Macaca mulatta: one gene and its partner. The protein of the gene in region 1 interacts with the protein of each later gene in a biochemical or structural test. Links are inferred from orthologs where the notes say so. Each region holds a gene or a part of one and is shown in the gene's direction. Other genes may lie near its edges.

Region 1 (3,804 bases):
GCGAGCCAGGGATTTGCATTTTAAGAGCCAGGCATCAACATGTTAAACACTGCCTTGACCTCATCTGATGAAGGAGGCAGACTCACAGACAAGTCCAGTAGCACCTGTATGAGGCATAACATGAGCAATAACTATGCAGGTTCAGGGAGATTTTGGGAAGGCTTCACAGAGGAAGTGACATCCCAGTGGGTCTTGGATGGTACGTAAGAGGTCACTGAAAGCTGAGGTGGGAAAGGTCAGCCAGCCAGAGCAAACAGTGTGTGCACAGGCATGCAGCTCACCAGACCCAAGGAAAAGGCAACCTGGCTGAACTCTGAGAAGAGTTGAGAGCCAAGGAGTCTCAGGACTGGGGCTGCGGACAGGGGCCAAGGCACATGGGTCAGTAGATGTTGATTGAATGAATGAGTGAATGAAGCTGGAAGTGATGGGTAGTTTTTAAGCAGAGACCTGTCTTTAACCGGTTTGCATTTTAGAAGGATTCCCTTGTTCCTTCAGTGGTAGTGGTCGGGGTGGGAGTTGGGTGAGGTAAGAGGCAGAGAGTCTGAGTAAGGGTTGTGGCTGACAGAAGGGACTGTCAGCTGAGTCCTGGTTCATAGTAGAAGTTCACTTTTCCCAGCCTTATATTTCTTCCTCCCGACATCCAACCTGCTTTTGCACTCCAGGCAGGAGGGGAAAGGCAGAGGGAGGAGGCCAGACTTTCTTATAGAGCCATAGCAGATTCTAGAGCCAAAATCAGTGCTTGTGAGAGCCCATCCTAGAGGCCCTTCTCCTTAATGAGCGGTTTCCCCATCCCTGCCCAAGTGATCTAGAATGGAGTCAGGCCAACCCTAGACTGGAAAGTGGGACACTAGTGTCTTGAAATCTAGGGCAGAGTCTGGTTGGGAAATGGTGGAGAGCAAAGGCTCTACTGCCCTTGCCTGGGGTGAAGCCAGCTCCACCTTTCACTGGCTGTACAGCTCCGCGCAAGCCCTCAACCTCTAAGCCTGGAACCCCCGGGCATGAGGATCAGACAACATAATGCCCCTATGTTATTCAGCTCAGGCCTGGCACAAATACCTACTCTGTAAATTAGCTGTGACCTTGGGCAAGGTACTGACCCCTCTGAACCTCATTTTCCTCCTTTCTAGAATAGGGACAGGGATTTGTGCTCCTCAAGGCGGCCATGTACATTAGAGTTGACTGTGTGCATCTTACAAGCTACAGCTGGAGTGGGGGTGGGTGGGCAGAAGGGGCAGGGCTGCCAAGCCAGGAAGCGGGTGGGCACAGAGCACAGGGCGCCGGTCCCAGTCAGTGGGACCTGCCATGGCCCTGGACCTGGAGGTTGCCCCTGGCAGGCCATGGAGGCCCACCGTGACCTGGCCTCAGCCCTGCCTCCACTGGGACTGCCCATCCATCTTTGGGGTCTGGGTCACTGGCTGCCGTCAGGCTTTGCTGTCGCTTCCTCCGCCTGCATTGCCCTCCCCTCCCAGCACCCATCTTGTGAAAGGCCGGAGTGTGGGTGCATGGTAGGGAGGCCGTGGGACCTGTGGGACCAGGGAAGATGCTGGTAGAGGGCAGAACTCAGTTCCAAGACCGCAGAGAGGTCCTGGGCCCTCATCCTGAAGATGCATCAGCCATGCCGTCACCTGTGCCGCCTCCGCCCCGCAGGTCACCCCCTACGGCCTAGCCTGGAGCCCGAGGAACCCAAGAGGCCTCTCCCCGCAGAGCGCGGTAGCAGCTCTGGGACGCCCAAGCTGATCCAGCGTGCGCTACTGCGTGGCACCGCCCTGCTTGCCTCCCTGGGCCTCGGCCGCGACCTGCAGCCACCGGGAAGCCAAGGACGTGAGCGTGGGGATCCCCCCACAACACCCCCAACGCCAATGCCCGCGCCCTGCCCGACCGAGCCGCCCCCTTCCCCGCTCATTCGCTTCTCGCCCAAGACGCCCGACTCCCCGCCCACTCCTGCACCCCTGTTGCTGGACCTGGGTATTCCTGCAGGCCAGCGGTCAGCCAAGAGCCCCCGACGTGAGGAGGAGCCCCGCGGTGAGTGGCCTGAGGCCGGCCTGCTTCGCGGATGGGAGATGGGGGTCCCCAGGGAGGGAGGAGTGGCTGGGGACATGCAAGGAGGCAAGGCCAAGACCACAGTCATCTACTGGACCCTGAACCAGGCGCTTGGGATACTGAAGACCATGTAGGGAGCAGAGTTCTAAATTCAGCTATCACGTGGTCCAGGCAGGTGGGGGCGATGCCTGCTGTGAAATAACAGAAGTAATCAAGGCCAGGCAGTGGTGCACGCCTGTGATCCCAGCACTTTGGGAGGATCACGTGAGCTTTGAAAGGTTGAGGCTGCAGTGAGCCGTGATCATGACACTGCACTCCAGCCTGGGCGACAGAGCATATATGTAGTCATAATAGTAGCAAACTCCTGGTTCCTTAACTTGTGTCAAGTACTCTTTACAAGGCTTTCCCGAGATGGTCTCATTCAGTCATAACAACCACAGAACTAAGTGCTCTTAGATGCCCATTTTTAGATAAGGAAATTTAAGGCACAGAGATGAAGGGACCCAGAGCTCCCACAGCTGGTAAGTGGCAGGGCCGGGACATACAGGCCGGCCTGCTCCAGAGGCCTCACTCCTAACCATTACGAAAAAACAGAGGCACGCAGAGCAGGAAGGGCCGTAGAAGTTGAGTCAAGTAGCTCACTGTGCAGATGGGGAAACTGAGGCCCAGAGCAGGGCAGTGTATCTTGGGGACCTCAGGAGTTGTTGGTTGCCTGACCTTGTGCCCCTCCTATATCTCACAGGAGGCACTGTCTCACCCCCACCCGGGACATCACGCTCTGCTCCTGGCACCCCAGGCACCCCACGTTCACCACCCCTGGGCCTCATCAGCCGACCTCGGCCCTCACCCCTTCGCAGCCGCATTGATCCCTGGAGCTTTGTGTCGGCTGGGCCACGGCCTTCTCCCCTGCCTTCGCCACAGCCTGCACCCCGCCGGGCACCCTGGACCTTGTTCCCAGACTCAGACCCCTTCTGGGACTCCCCACCTGCCAACCCCTTCCGGGGAGGCCCCCAGGACTGCAGGGCACAGACCAAAGACATGGGTGCCCAGGCCCCTTGGGTGCCGGAGGCGGGACCTTGAGTGGGCCAGGCCACTCCCCCGAGCTCCAGCTGCCTTAGAGGAGTCACAGCATACACTGGAACAGGAGCTGGGCCAGCCTCTGCAGCTGCCTCAGTTTCCCCAGGGACCCCACCCCCGCTTTGGGGGTCAGGAACACTACACTGCACAGGAAGCCTTCACACTGGATGGGGGGCCTGCGCCCCCATACCTGAAACCTCCCAGCTCACCTGCCCTACTGGGGCCCGACACTGTACCCAGCTGGTTGGGAGGACCAGAGCCTGTCTCAGGGAATTGCCCGCAGGGGTGATGCAGGGAGGAGGGGAGGTGCAGGGAAGAGGGGCCGGCCTCAGCTGTCACCAGCACTTTTGACCAAGTCCTGCTACTGTGGCCCCTGCCCTAGGGCTTAGAGCATGGGCCTCCTGCCCTGGGGGTCATCTGGGGCCAGGGCTCTCTGGGTGCCTTCCTGCTGCCCCAGCCAGGGTTGGAGTATTAGCCTCGGGATCCAATGAAGCCAGAAGCCAAATAAACTCAAAAGCTGTCTCCCCACATGTAGCCTGTCACCTTTCTTGGACGTAACCAGGTGACCCAACCTATCATGCAACCATGGTGTCCTGATGCCCCAACAATAGGCAGTTCCTTGCCTTGCACTGCATCCCTCTCCTGGGACCAGATCCACCAGCCTTGGTGAGTCATTCAAGGCTTTTC
Region 2 (3,804 bases), about 11 Mb from region 1:
GCAGAGGTTGTGGTGAGCCAAGATCATGCCATTGCTCTCCAGCCTGGGTGACAGAGTGAAACTCTGTCTCAAAAAAAAAAAAAAAAAGTGCAGAGGTCACTGACAGAGCAGGGGCATTTGAGGGCACCTCTGGGTCAGCAGTCCTGCAGCTCTCCCATGCCATCTGAGTCCCCCTTTGCACCACTGGCCTTCTCGGTGACCATCTGGGCAGCCAGTGTGAATTGAACACTTACTTGGTGTCGGCCACTGGGTTACTGTCCCTGAGCTAGAGATGCCACCCTGTCCTGGACGGATGCAGGAGGGCTGCTCTGGCTTCTGGGCCAGGCCCTCCTCCCCAGTTCCACCCCAGCTGGCCGGCCACACCCTCCCCATGGCCCGGGGAACCACCACCCTTGGGCTGCAAGTCAGAAGTGACCCTACAGGGCACCTTGTCCATCCAGCCCCCATCCCCCACCCCTCTGTGCAGTGCCCTCCAGGGGCCTCCAGGTTCTGTTTATGTCACTCCAAAGGGACAGGAAGCTCGTTACCACCCAGCAGCCCTTCCAGCTCTGCTCTAAGGGCCCAAACACTGGCCCGCCCTTAGCTGTGGCTCTGGCGCCTCCTGCATCCATAGGCCCTGCCTTCCTGGGTCCTGAAGGCTTTGAGCCCTGGCTGCAGGAGGAGGCAGCCCAGATCAAATCCAGTCTGGATGCATCCTGGGCCCACAGAAGCCTCCCAGATGAGGTCGGAGGGCTGAGCCTATGGCAGTGCGAACGGAGTGTTCATTCTTGAGGTGTTTGGGAAGTGCCCCCTCATCTCCCACCTGGCACCCTGACTGGGGCACTGGCCCTTTAAAGCCAATCAAGGGCTGGCTTTTGGGGGGAAACATCCTAGATTTCTGCCATCTACTTACAAGCCTGGGCCAGGGAGGGGGGCCACCTCAGTCCCCGACAGGGGCATTGGAAGGGCAGGTGGAGCCAGTGGCATTGATTGAAGTAACCTGATCCCGTGAGGGAGGCGGCCACAGTGACAGCAGCGCAACGGCCAGCTGGGAGGAAGCTGCCTGCAGCTGAGGGCTGCGTTGGGAAGAGCTGGGGCTGGGACCCGGGTCGGCAGCTGCAGCCTCCTCTCCTGGCCTATCTATTTTTAATGAGCTCCCCAGGCTTCTGCAGCGGGCAGGACGCAGAAAGACAGGCCCAGGCGGTGGAGGCCAGAGGCCCCCAGCCCTGCCCTGAGCCCTGGCCCCCGCACCCTTCTGGGCATGAGAGGGCAGCCCTGGGGCCCCGCAGCCCCCCTGCCGGGCAGGGCTCTCCATGCAGCTGGTGCTGAAGATGGATTCGAGCCCAGACAATGACAGCTGGTTGGAGGATCAATGGGAGCGCTGGTAGGGGCTACCGGGGCTGGCAGGGGTGGAGACCAAGCTGGGGTGAGCTCCATCGAGCTCAGGGTCTCTATTTGGTCTGATTGAGGCGAGCGGCAGGGAGTCTAGGCCTCCTAGGTTCCCCTGGGGGCTAAGCCACCATCTCTCCTGGGTGACCTTGGACTCGTGGGTTTCCCTTGCTCTGTGCCTCAATTTCTTGGACTTATCTGGGAAAAGCCTCATACATTCTTCCCAACTTCCCAAATGTTCTACCCTCCAGCAAGCCAGGCAGAGTGCCCAGGACTAGAGGTGAGCAAGAGACAGGCTGCCTTGCAGTGGCTAGCCCAGCTCTGCATTCTGAGGTGGGGACTCAGGGCTGGCCTAGGGAGAGGGGGGTTCTGGTGAAGCTGGTTAGTGTTGTAGTGCCCCGGTGCTCTGAGCTGTCTCCTGAGCTTATAACACCTCTGATTCCACCTGGGGCTTTTCCTGACCCCATGTGTGCAGCCTCCTGTTCAGGGTCCTTACGATGGAAAAGGAGAAGATTTTGTGGTTGAAGAGATGAGACCACCAAGTGCACAGCATGAGGCTATAGTCCTTTCTGGAATAGGCTGAAACTACCCACACCAGATTTTCCTTCGCTTGTTCCCTGGGCTCAAGGGGCATGAGTCTTCCTGAGCTGGGGCGTGGGGCCCTCCTTTGAGGCTGCTGCCAGCACCTCGGGTCTTGCTACTGCAGAGGTTGCACTGGGAGCTCTCCTACTCCAGGCTTGCTGCTCTTCTCAACTCCATGGATTCTCCATGGTGAACTGGCCTTGGCACCTGCCTTGACCCTGGGAGGAGGCTCTGACCAGTTAGGCCTTCTAAGCACTGCCTGCTGGTTGGCAACAGAATGACAACTCCCAGGGAGGAGCTGGAGTAACCCAGAGCCGCCTCTTCCGCTGCCACCCTAGGAGGATTGCCTTTTGGCCCGAGCCCCATGCTCTTTCCCTGCCTGCTGACTACCCCCTGCATTGACACAGATGGACCCCAAATCCTGTCCTCTGGGGGCTGTGTTCGGCCTTCAAGAGGCTGCCCCCTGAAAGAGGTAACAGGGAGATGTGAGCGGGCATAGCAGTGCCCCTGAGTTGTAACTTTGGCTTCCTGTCCCCACCAGGCTCACCCACGACATCAGCCTGGAGGAGTTTGAGGATGAGGACCTCTCGGAGATCACTGATGAGTGTGGCATCAGCTTGCAGTGCAGAGACACCCTGTCCTTACGGGTAAGGGTGAGCTCCCAGGAGCTCCTGAGTGGGGTGGCAGGAAGACTAGGGACGGGGTAAGGGCATCCCCATATCGATAAAGGGGTTTCAGGTCTGTGCTGGCACCCTCATGAAATGAAATGATGTGCAAGAAACATAGGTATACTGCTTGGCATGTCTTGGGTGTACAATCAGAATTTTATTTATTATTATTATTATTATTACCGCTGTCGGGGACTAAGGCAGGAAGTAGCTCCTTCAGCTGCCCACAAGATGAGAGAGGTAGGAAGTCTTGAGACCTAGGGCATTAACAATTAGGACCAGACTTAAGGGAGACTCAGGGCTACCCTAAATCCTTTTGGGAGCAGCCCTGGAAAGGGCCTGAGGCAGACAGGGTGGAGTCTGGTAGAATCTGCAGTGCTTTGAGGCAGGAAGAAACAGCCAAGGCACTCCTGGAATAACTCCTGTGGCTGCTGGCTGCTATACACCAGACAGATGGCACTGCATGGCCTCCCAGACCATCTCTGGCCCCTAGTCCTAAAGGCCCCCACTGAGGAGTTTGCCCAGCATTGCTGCTGGTTTGGGCCCTTGGCTTTGTCCTAGGGAAGATGACTGTCTCCTGTCCCTAAAGATCTGAATGCTGCCAGGAAGTCCCCAGCACCTGGGGAGCTGCGGTCAGATGGGGATCCCAACTATGTCTTTTCAGAACAGGAAGAAGGGGCTGGCTAGCCAGGAAATGGAGGACAGAGCACAGGGGTTGGTTTTAGAGCCCAGAGCTCCTCTGAGCCCCCAAGAGGGCAGGTAGCCAGATATGGTGTCAGGAGAGTGGTTACCATAGGAGCATGCATTATGCCTTGGGGAGGGGGTGCCTGTCTCTGTGTTGACCTCCTGCTACCCCCAGAGACTCAGTAAGCTCTGCCAGGCAAGAGGAAACCAAGGGGTGTGGATAACCCCCTAGTCCCCAGTACCCCAACCTTCCACTCTCCGGCCAGGCCAGGAAGAGGCAGAGGCCTCTAGATTTGGGGAATGGTCTCAGGGCCCTGACTTAGCTTCTCAAAGGTCAGGCACCTGTTCTGGACTCTCACCCTGCCCTCTCCCCCAGCTGCACTAGCAGAGCCTTGGAGAGGGTTGCCCCCCAGCTAGGCAGGGCCCCCAGGCACTACTGGCCAGAGGTGTGCCCCTGAGGGGCCTCAGACAAGCTCCAGCGGGCTTCACACACGTTCCAGTG

The links.
Region 2: the proteins of MAP3K11 (region 1) and MAPK8IP1 form a complex in vitro, tested with the Homo sapiens proteins (2 studies listed by BioGRID). The link is inferred for Macaca mulatta from reciprocal best matches to the Homo sapiens genes MAP3K11 and MAPK8IP1.

The regions. Positions count from the first base shown.
Region 1 is NC_133419.1:8,792,239-8,796,042, forward strand, and holds the end of MAP3K11 (mitogen-activated protein kinase kinase kinase 11), read left to right. Parts: intron 1-1,647; coding exon 1,648-2,022; intron 2,023-2,782; coding exon 2,783-3,120; 3' UTR 3,121-3,641; downstream 3,642-3,804. UniProt on the Homo sapiens protein: Activates the JUN N-terminal pathway. Required for serum-stimulated cell proliferation and for mitogen and cytokine activation of MAPK14 (p38), MAPK3 (ERK) and MAPK8 (JNK1) through phosphorylation and activation of MAP2K4/MKK4 and MAP2K7/MKK7.
Region 2 is NC_133419.1:19,718,655-19,722,458, reverse strand, and holds part of MAPK8IP1 (C-Jun-amino-terminal kinase-interacting protein 1), read left to right. Parts: intron 1-892; exon of another isoform or gene 893-1,292; coding exon of another isoform or gene 1,293-1,363; intron 1,364-2,491; coding exon 2,492-2,597; intron 2,598-3,804. UniProt on the Homo sapiens protein: The JNK-interacting protein (JIP) group of scaffold proteins selectively mediates JNK signaling by aggregating specific components of the MAPK cascade to form a functional JNK signaling module. Required for JNK activation in response to excitotoxic stress.